Ovis aries: one gene and its partner. The protein of the gene in region 2 interacts with the protein of the main gene of each other region in a pairwise test. Links are inferred from orthologs where the notes say so. Each region holds a gene or a part of one and is shown on either strand. Other genes may lie near its edges.

The links.
Region 1: the proteins of ANKS1A (region 2) and DOK3 interact in a two-hybrid assay, tested with the Homo sapiens proteins (2 studies listed by BioGRID and IntAct). The link is inferred for Ovis aries from reciprocal best matches to the Homo sapiens genes ANKS1A and DOK3.

The regions. Positions count from the first base shown.
Region 1 is NC_056058.1:36,711,826-36,716,429, forward strand, and holds the start of DOK3 (docking protein 3), read right to left. Parts: upstream 3,041-4,604; 5' UTR 2,410-3,040; coding exon 2,152-2,409; intron 833-2,151; coding exon 512-832; intron 1-511. Other genes in the region: probable ATP-dependent RNA helicase DDX41, read right to left, coding at 4,467-4,603. UniProt on the Homo sapiens protein: DOK proteins are enzymatically inert adaptor or scaffolding proteins. They provide a docking platform for the assembly of multimolecular signaling complexes. DOK3 is a negative regulator of JNK signaling in B-cells through interaction with INPP5D/SHIP1.
Region 2 is NC_056073.1:9,105,374-9,109,177, forward strand, and holds part of ANKS1A (ankyrin repeat and SAM domain-containing protein 1A), read left to right. Parts: intron 1-1,115; coding exon 1,116-1,312; intron 1,313-3,804. UniProt on the Homo sapiens protein: Regulator of different signaling pathways. Regulates EPHA8 receptor tyrosine kinase signaling to control cell migration and neurite retraction.

The DNA of each region.
Region 1 (4,604 bases), on a different chromosome or scaffold from region 2:
AGGCTTCTCCTCTTGTGTAGAATAAAAGCCCAGACTCCACAAGTGGCCCAAGGCAGGTTCAGTTGGCTCCCACCAAGTTCTCCACCGTTGCCTCCTCCTGGGTCCCCTCTCCCTTCTTACTCTGTGGCCACACTGGCCTTTCTGCTCCTTGAACATCAAGCTTTTCCCTGCCTCAGGGCCCTTGCCCATGCTGCTTCCTCTTTTCAGGAGCCTTCTCAGACCGGTGTTGAGGATGCTCTTTCTTCAGATCTTTGCCTGGTGGGTTATTTGCCCTCTCCTGAGAAGCCTTCCTGGACCATCCTGTCTAACATCCCCCCATTCACTCATGGTCCCACTCAGCCTCTCACATTCTCCATAGCATGCATGGCAATCTGAGATTTGTTCTCTGGGCTTCTGGGCTGTATCCCAGGCTTCTAGGTGCTTGCCGAGTGACGGGACGTGAACGAGCATGGAGATGAACAAGGTGTGGGTGAAATGGTCTTCCCGGCCCGCCCCTGGATGCCTTACCCACCTGCCCTGTGCTCACCGGGAAGGCCAGCTGACAGATGGGGCCCATCCATGCCTGGCGGTGCTCTGCGGCCAGCAGGTGGCTTCGCTCCGTGGTGGTGAGCAGGAAGGCACCTGTGTCCCGGGGGCAGCTCTCACCATCAGCCGGTAGCACAGAGACGCAGTCAGCCAGGCGGATGATCCTCCGTTCTCCCCGCCGGCCAGGCCCCGCAGACCTGTCACCTGCTGGCCCTAGGCCACCATCCCGGACCTCCCAGCTCTCTAGCCGGGCCACGCCCGAGGGGCCTCCTGCATAGAGTAGACCCCATACCTTCCGCCAGGACTTCTGCAGGAGATAAAAATGGGGGAGATGACCCTCAAGTGGCAGTTCCCAACCTGCAGCAGCTCAACCCCACACAAGCCATTCAGCCAGTGCTCCTGGCCACCCAGGGTGGCCTCCGCCTCCCCACTCCTCAGGCCACGTGAAAGCAAAGTGTTGTCCAGTCGTGTCCGACTCTTTGTGACCCCATGGACTGTAGCCCACCAGGCTCCTCTGGCCACAGGATTTTTCCAGGCAAGAATACTGGAGTGGGTTGCCATTTCCTTCTCCAGGGGATCTTCCTGGCCTAGGGGTTGAACCCAGGTCTCCTGCACTGCAGGCAGACTCCTTACTGTCTGAGTGGCTTTTTTACCATCTGAGCCACCAGGGAAGCCCAGGATGCCTTGCCAGAGCTGGCATGGCAAGGGGGACAGTCTGTACTTGGAGTCAGTCAGCACCCCCATCTACCCCCACAATTTCCCAACTGTGATCCCCATAAGCACTAGTATCTTCGTCTCTCAAAGGTCATGAGGGGGGGCTTCCCTGGTGGTCCAGTGGCTAGGACTCCATGCTCCCAGTGCAGGGGCCTGGGTTTGATCCCTGATCGGGGAACTGGATCCCACATGGGGCAAGTAAAACATCCTGCACGCCACCACTGAGACCCAGCATGGCCAAATAAATAATAAAATAAAATACTTAAAAAAACAAATGGTTATGAGAACGCACAAGGTTGGGGCTTCTACTGGGTACTATCTAGTGGCTAGAGCAGACCACCTGCACCCCTGCTTTGTCAGTGCCCCCACCGCCTGCAAAGAAAAGGTCAATTAGGCCATGGGGCAAGGGCTGGGGTGGGAGGGAGGCCTCGGTCTCATGATGGCAAGGAAGGAAACATGCAAATAATTCCGAGCAAAGGAAACAGACGGTTTATCTGCCTGGGCAGCAGCTGCGGCTGAGCTATGGGTGTGCAGGGCCCGCGACCTGAGGACAGGGCTGGGAAGAGCTGAGCCCTCTTGGGCAGGATGGAGCTCCACTTTTAGGGGCTCCTCCAGCTCAGCCTCCAGCCCTCTCAGGGGCCACAGTGCCACTGGTAGACGGGATGGAAGGCTGTTGGATTAGCCGCTCCCTCACCTCTGCTCTGCCCCATTGGTGGCATTACCAGCTCCCTGCTCTTGGCTTCCCACCTGTAAATGAGGCAGGGTCTCGCTGAGGCTGAACTTCTCCACACCCAGGTTGGACTCCCCACCCTGACGCCTACCCTCTTTCTCCCAATCCTAGTGGCCTGTCCGAGTCTGGGGCAGAGGCCCACTACCTGTCCTAGGCGGCCACCTGGCAGCCAGGGTCCCCACCTTGCCGAACTTGATGTGCTGCTGGTAGAGGATGCCGTCCTTGACGGGGGTCTCCAGAGGCTCCATGGCGCGGCCGGACCCAGGGCCGCCACTCCGAGGACCTGCAGAGACTGATGACGGGTAGGAGGGGAACTCCTCACACTTCCCCTTCTGGCCACTTCCCCCTCCCTCTGTCCAGAGCGGCAGCTGCAGGACTGGGGGAGGGGAGCCCTGCCTACACCATAAAGGAGCTAGAACAGGGTGGGGAGGGCATCCCATATTTCTCCCTTGGGGTTCCAGGTATCCCACTAGGGCCAGGCAGGGACCTCAGACCACCTGAGGGCAGATGATCCCTGCCTGTTCCGGTCAGCTGGGTGTGAGCTTCTGACCCCAGGCTGGCTCCCGAGTCATGAGCTCCGACCCCTCCCCCATCCTGGGGCAGTTGTGTACCCTGGGTCCTGGCATGCCCACAGCCTGGTCCCCACCTCAGGACCTTACTCTAGCCAGATGGGCAAACTCCTTGCCTTCCCATTCAAGAGTCCTAGTTGGTTGGCCTGTCTTTGTGCTGGAAAACAGTTCTAACAATCACTTGGTCCTCTCCATTTCACAGCTCCTGTCTGTTGCCAGCCTTGGCATCTTCCCATTGAACCATGGCCCCACCTGGGCCCATCAGGCCCTTTCTGCCATGCCCAAACAACCCATCCCTTCCCTTCCTAAACACTGCCTGGCTCCCAGTGCCCTCAGGTCTAGCTTGGACTCCTGGGCCCAGCACTCGAGGAGGATTCTCTCCTCTACCTCCCCACGCCTGGCCCCTTCAGGGCACCTCTCACCGTGCTCCTCAGGGCACTGGGCCTTCTCCCTCTGGCCTTCTTCCTCCAGGAGGCCTCCCTTGACCACCCCACGCTATCTTGAGAGCACAAAGGCCCCAGCCCTCATGGCACGGCCCCAGCCACGTGAGTGTGGCACGCCCCTGCAGAGTTCCCTGGAGATCTCACGTGCTTTTTTTTTTTTAAGCTTTGCTTCTTACTGGGACTCTTTCTAAGCCTTGCCTTGCTGGAGGCCAGTTATCTGAGCTCTGCATATGAATCTGAATTCTGGAGACAGCCTTGTGTCATTTATCCCGTGCCACTTCTAGGAAGCAATGTGTGAACAGGCCAAACACTGTTTGGGGGTCACATGTGGGTTGTGTAGCTTCTCAGGCAGGAAATCGAGGGCCTCATTCACCTGGCTTTGTGCCCATTATGGCCCAAGCAGCCCCAGACACCATGTCCTTTGCATTCTCATTGCCATTTCACCGATGAGGAAATCAACTCAGAAACATTAAGTAACTTGCCCAAGGCGACACACCAAGTAGCAAACATGGCTCGAGCAACGGCTGTCCTGCTGGGATAAGCGCGTGGCCTGCGCATGGAGTGTCTGGCGCAGAGGAGCTGCCACCAGGGCTCTTCTTCTATCGACCCCTAGCAAGAAATCCTGGCCCCTTTGCTAGCAGTCCCGAGACAGCAGCCTGCATTTATTCATGGCTGTTATTCATGGCTGATCCGTCTGTCCCACTCACTTGTGAACTTCCCAGAGGGCATCTGTCTGGCTCACCTGGGTCCTGAGCCCAACACATAGCTGGGTCAGTGGGTGCATGTGGCCTAGGTGGCAGTCCTATGGCATTTGCTGCCCACTTGGCAAACAGCAGAGGCCTTCCTACTGGGAGCCTGCGTGGGCAGGGGGCCTGAGACATGATGTCTCCAAAGGGCCTTAGGAGAAGCCCTGGGGAACTTTACACACTGACAGGAAGAGGGAGGCTGGGGCAGGCCTGGAGGTTATAACAGCCAACCAGAAAGACCAGAAACCCCAATCAACCATTTTCCTTTGGTCTATCAGGGTGGTCCTTCTCTGAGTCACAATAGAAGAAATTTACCCTAAGCCTCCACAGGAGGCCCCAGGCAATCAGCTCCTTTCACAGCTCAGTACCAGCAGGTTTTGGCAGTGGTGGTGGGAAATACCAAGGTCCAACCTCAGAAGGGCGCTGGTGGTCAGTGGGTGAGGCCTGCCCAGGGAGCACGGGGCAGACAAGGTGAAACACAGAGGCTGAGACCAGAAAGGCTTGTGCTTTAATGGCAGCTAGGGTAAAGGGGAGCAAAAATAGTAATTCTGGGGGGCATGGGGAGCAGGCAGCCAGGTCCAGCCTGGCCCAACCCAGGCCAGCTGAGCCGAGGTTGCTGTCTTCTTGTTCACAGGGCGGGTGTGTGTGTGTGTGTCTATGTGTGTGTGTTGGGGGGGCAGTGGTGGCGGCTGGAGCTCCAGGGACAGAGGCCCCTCGCGGAGGAGGGGTGGCAGCCAGCTCAGAAGTCCATGGAGCTGTGGGCCAGGTAGTCCTTGCGGCCGATGTTGCTAACCTGCTTCGTCTGCATGGCTTCAAGCTTGGGGCAGTCGGTGATCCGATGACCCAGGCCCCCACAGAAGGCACAGCCACGCTCTCC
Region 2 (3,804 bases):
CAGATAGGATGGTCTCAGGATGAACTCAAATCTCAGTGGAAACTTTTTTTTTTTTCCCCCAGCATACACTGTAGTGCCTTGAATATAGCTGGCCCATAGTAAATATTTAATGAGTGTCATCTGGTTGGTAGCTATATATATGGCAGGTTTTAGTAATGTATCATTTGTCCAACAAATGTGGTCTGGGTGCTAGTGTGGGCAGTCCAGCCTCTCCATCATTAGCCAGGATCCAGCTCTTCAGATGGATTGAGCAGGCCTTTTGGATCCTAGGTCTGATGGATGAGAAAGACAGAACACAGGCTGACACCTCCCCCAGATGCAGATCACAATGAGGAAGGCTAGAGAAACAGAGCAAAGCCACATACTAAAAAAGGAAAGAGATTTTTCAGAGGACAGCAGAGATACAAGGGTTCAGGGCTTCCCAGCCTATCTTTACTGTGGAGTCCCTGTAACCCTCCCCAGTCACATTTTTTTTCTTGACCTCATAATCTGCTGGTAATGGGATTAGTAGTTCACTAAGCTCTTAGCTTTCAAGGATTTTATAGTTACAGTTTTGACTCTTTGCAAGTGACCCAGAGATCCCCGGTTTATAATCAGATCCCTGGTTACTTTGCAGACAGAGGCACACATTTGGATCCCAGGCACCCTGAGGTTTGTAGTTACCTAGCAAGTGAGTCTCAACAGCCACACAGCAGCCCCATCTCAGAGAGACTCCACCATCCTGTTTTGCTTGAGCACATGGAGGTTCCTGTTAAGAACGTAAAGGAATTACTGAAGTTTTTTCCGTTGTACTTTGCTATATTTTCTGGTTTATGTTCATGCTGTCATGATATTGAGGTATTTCGAAATTTATAACAGTCTTGGGAGATGTCCTTCATTGATGTCAAATGTTCCATCTTGAACTAGAGAAAATTTTGTTCAGTTCTCAGAGTATATAGTGCAGATGAAATTCTGTATTTAGTCTTGTCCATGGAGAGAGCCATAATTTATTTTCCTGCTCTGGGTTAACGCTGGTCAAGTTCAGGTGATTGGAGGGGCTTTGGCTAGTTGCCGTGGTGGGAAGTCCGAGACTGTGTCCTCCTCTCACCAATTCTTGCCTTCCCACTCCTCTTTAGGTGACCTGGAGAAAGCAGTGACTGAACTGATCATCGATTTTAACACCAACAGAGAAGAGGAGGGTCCCTATGAGGCGCTGTACAATGCTGTCTCCTGCCAGTCCCTGGATAGCACGGCCAGCGGACGCTCGTCCGACCGGGACTCTGTGAGCAGGGAGGCTGAGGCGGCCGGAGGGAAAGCTGCTGGAGTGAGGCCTGTATGTGGCCCGGGTTCTGTTGTCACCTCTGCTCTGCTGGGGAACGGGGGAAGGGAAGTGTGGCCCCCAGTGCCAGCTGCATCTCAGAGGCCTAGGCCGCCTCCACCTATTCTCCTGGTGGCTCCCCCTCTGCCTTTCCCCCTCTTGCTTAGTTGGGTCTAACTATGCAGGTCATGTTGAGGTATAATTTTAGTTTTTCAGTTTCAGTATAACCCGTTGGCATCTTTCTGTTACTCGATTGTTCTTAGAGCAAATTGAAGCATTTTATTTGTGTTAGGCTTAGCGCTGCTTCCGTGTTTGGTGTCTTTGCTATGTATTGTTGGCTTCTTTCCAGAGAGCAGGTCCATCGATGGAAGAGCTTACTGAATAACTTCCTGTCTGCCCTGAGTACATGTTGACCTTCCATTTGCCCTTGAAAAGTTACCCACTGGATTTGGACAGAGTCTGTGTTCGGCAGGGTTGTAGCAAGGCTTAAACAGATGCAGATATGTTAGCATATACCTTCCCATTTTTCCCATAGTTATAACCCTGCAGGCTTTGAAATGGTGGAAGGAGGACAACTCTGAATTTTTCCCTCAAAAGGTCAACCTTCCCATCTGACTGGTTCTTTCTGTAGTACTTGCTTCTTCTAGCCTTGAACATTGTTCTCCAGACTCCTTACCCCGCTGTCTCCCCTGGAGCTTTGCTGTGAGTCTAGGCCCGAGTCAGTGGTCCCATGGCCCTTCCTCCCTGCTCTGGCAGTGCCGCAGTTTGAGGCTTTGAGCACTGTGCTCCTCATAAACAGGCGCTGCTGTAATGGGATTCCAGTGATAGTCCCACCTTGGGGCATATTTTCAGGTGTATATTACATCTTCCTGTTGGAGAGGCTGGCCCTTCCCTTTGGTGGTAATCTGGCTTATGACCATTTTGACGATCCTTTGGCTGCTTGGCGATCCTCGGACTTTTCATTAGTGCCCTGGGAATGGCCAAATGGTTTTGGTGTTCTCTTTTGTTGGATTTCTGGCCCTGCCCTGTCCCAGCATTTCCGCGTGGATTTTGGAAAGGCCTGCCGACCTTGTGGCAGCACCCCCAGAGTGGGTGTTACCAGGGAGTGTGATAAACTCCTTGTCGGTGGTCAAAGCAAGCTTGTGTGCCAGGCACCACTCACAAAGTGCTTCTGCAGACAGAGCTGGTTTGCTTTTGTTTGTTTTCTCACTTCTTTCACTGTTAGGTACAAATAGGCCAATCCAACCTGTGGAAGAAGACACTGCCATCTGTGGCACTTACCGGTGATGCCCATTAGAGGGAGCTGGAGGCTTTGCAAGAAGAACACAGGGTTGCTGAAGTCAGCTTTGAATGACCAAGTTCCTGTGGGCTCAGCCACTGACTTACATGGGCTCTTTGTTCATCCCACTCTAGGAATCTAGCCTCCTGTGGTCCTGCTAAGTAGAAACTGGGGATGCCTCCTTTGCCAGTTTTATTTGAGGATGTTGTGGCTGTGCTGCCTTCCTGGCCCTTGATAATTAACTGTGGCCAAGGAACTGTTCCCTGTCTTGTAAACATAGCAGATAGTTATGTATGAGTCAGCCTTGTAGCCCCTCAGCCAAAGTTTTCATGGTAGAAAAGAGAGACTCATGCTTTTCTTTCCTTCCAGGGTCCCTGGTGATCACCACTTCCATAGAAACCTTTCAGACTGTTCTTTCTAGGCGTCTCTCGCCTTGAAGAGGCATCTAGGACGAGTCACTTTTATTTTGCTTCATTCTGGTTTTCCTCGGTTATTGTGTCCCTTGGTTGGATAACTAGTGTGATTATGGGCCTGCTCCATTTGCTGTTCCCCTCCTTACAAGGTGTCACTGGGACCAGGTTTGTCCCTGTACTTCTGGAGCAAGGAGGGTGGGGAAAGTGGACTTAGTGGGAAATTCGACCTAAATAGCTTTACTTGGCTTGACCGCGTTGGAGTTGTTGCCACTGGGCACCCATCTGGTGGCAGGGACTAGGGGAATGACCAGATTATCAAGATGTAATACCAGCCAGAAAAGTGTGTTTAACAGAGGGATCACGGAGCTGAGTGCTAACTAACGCGGCAGCTCCTAAAATGGGAAAAGTGTCTTTCCTTACAGGTTTCTTGGAGGCTGTCACTTCAACATTCACCTCCACCCAGATATTTAGAAATACTCTTGTTCTAGCAACACAGTGAACTAACCTACAAGCCAAGGAAGGGGCCTGCAAGCCGGCTCCCTTCCCTGTAGGAACATGAGCTCTCAGGCATGAATAGGACTTTGGAATATGAAGACATTGAGAGTCCAGCAGGGACAGTGGCTCTTCGTCTTTCTTTCACCAAAGATCGTTCTGTGTGTTCCTGAAACTGTCTGCCGTGATCTTGATAATCTCTTCTTCAGTGAGTTTCTTGCTTAAGGGTAGAGACTAGTGAACTGAGGCCCACAAACAGCTGCCTGTTTTTGTGAATAAAGTTGTATTTAGAACATAACCGCACCCACTCATTTACATATCCT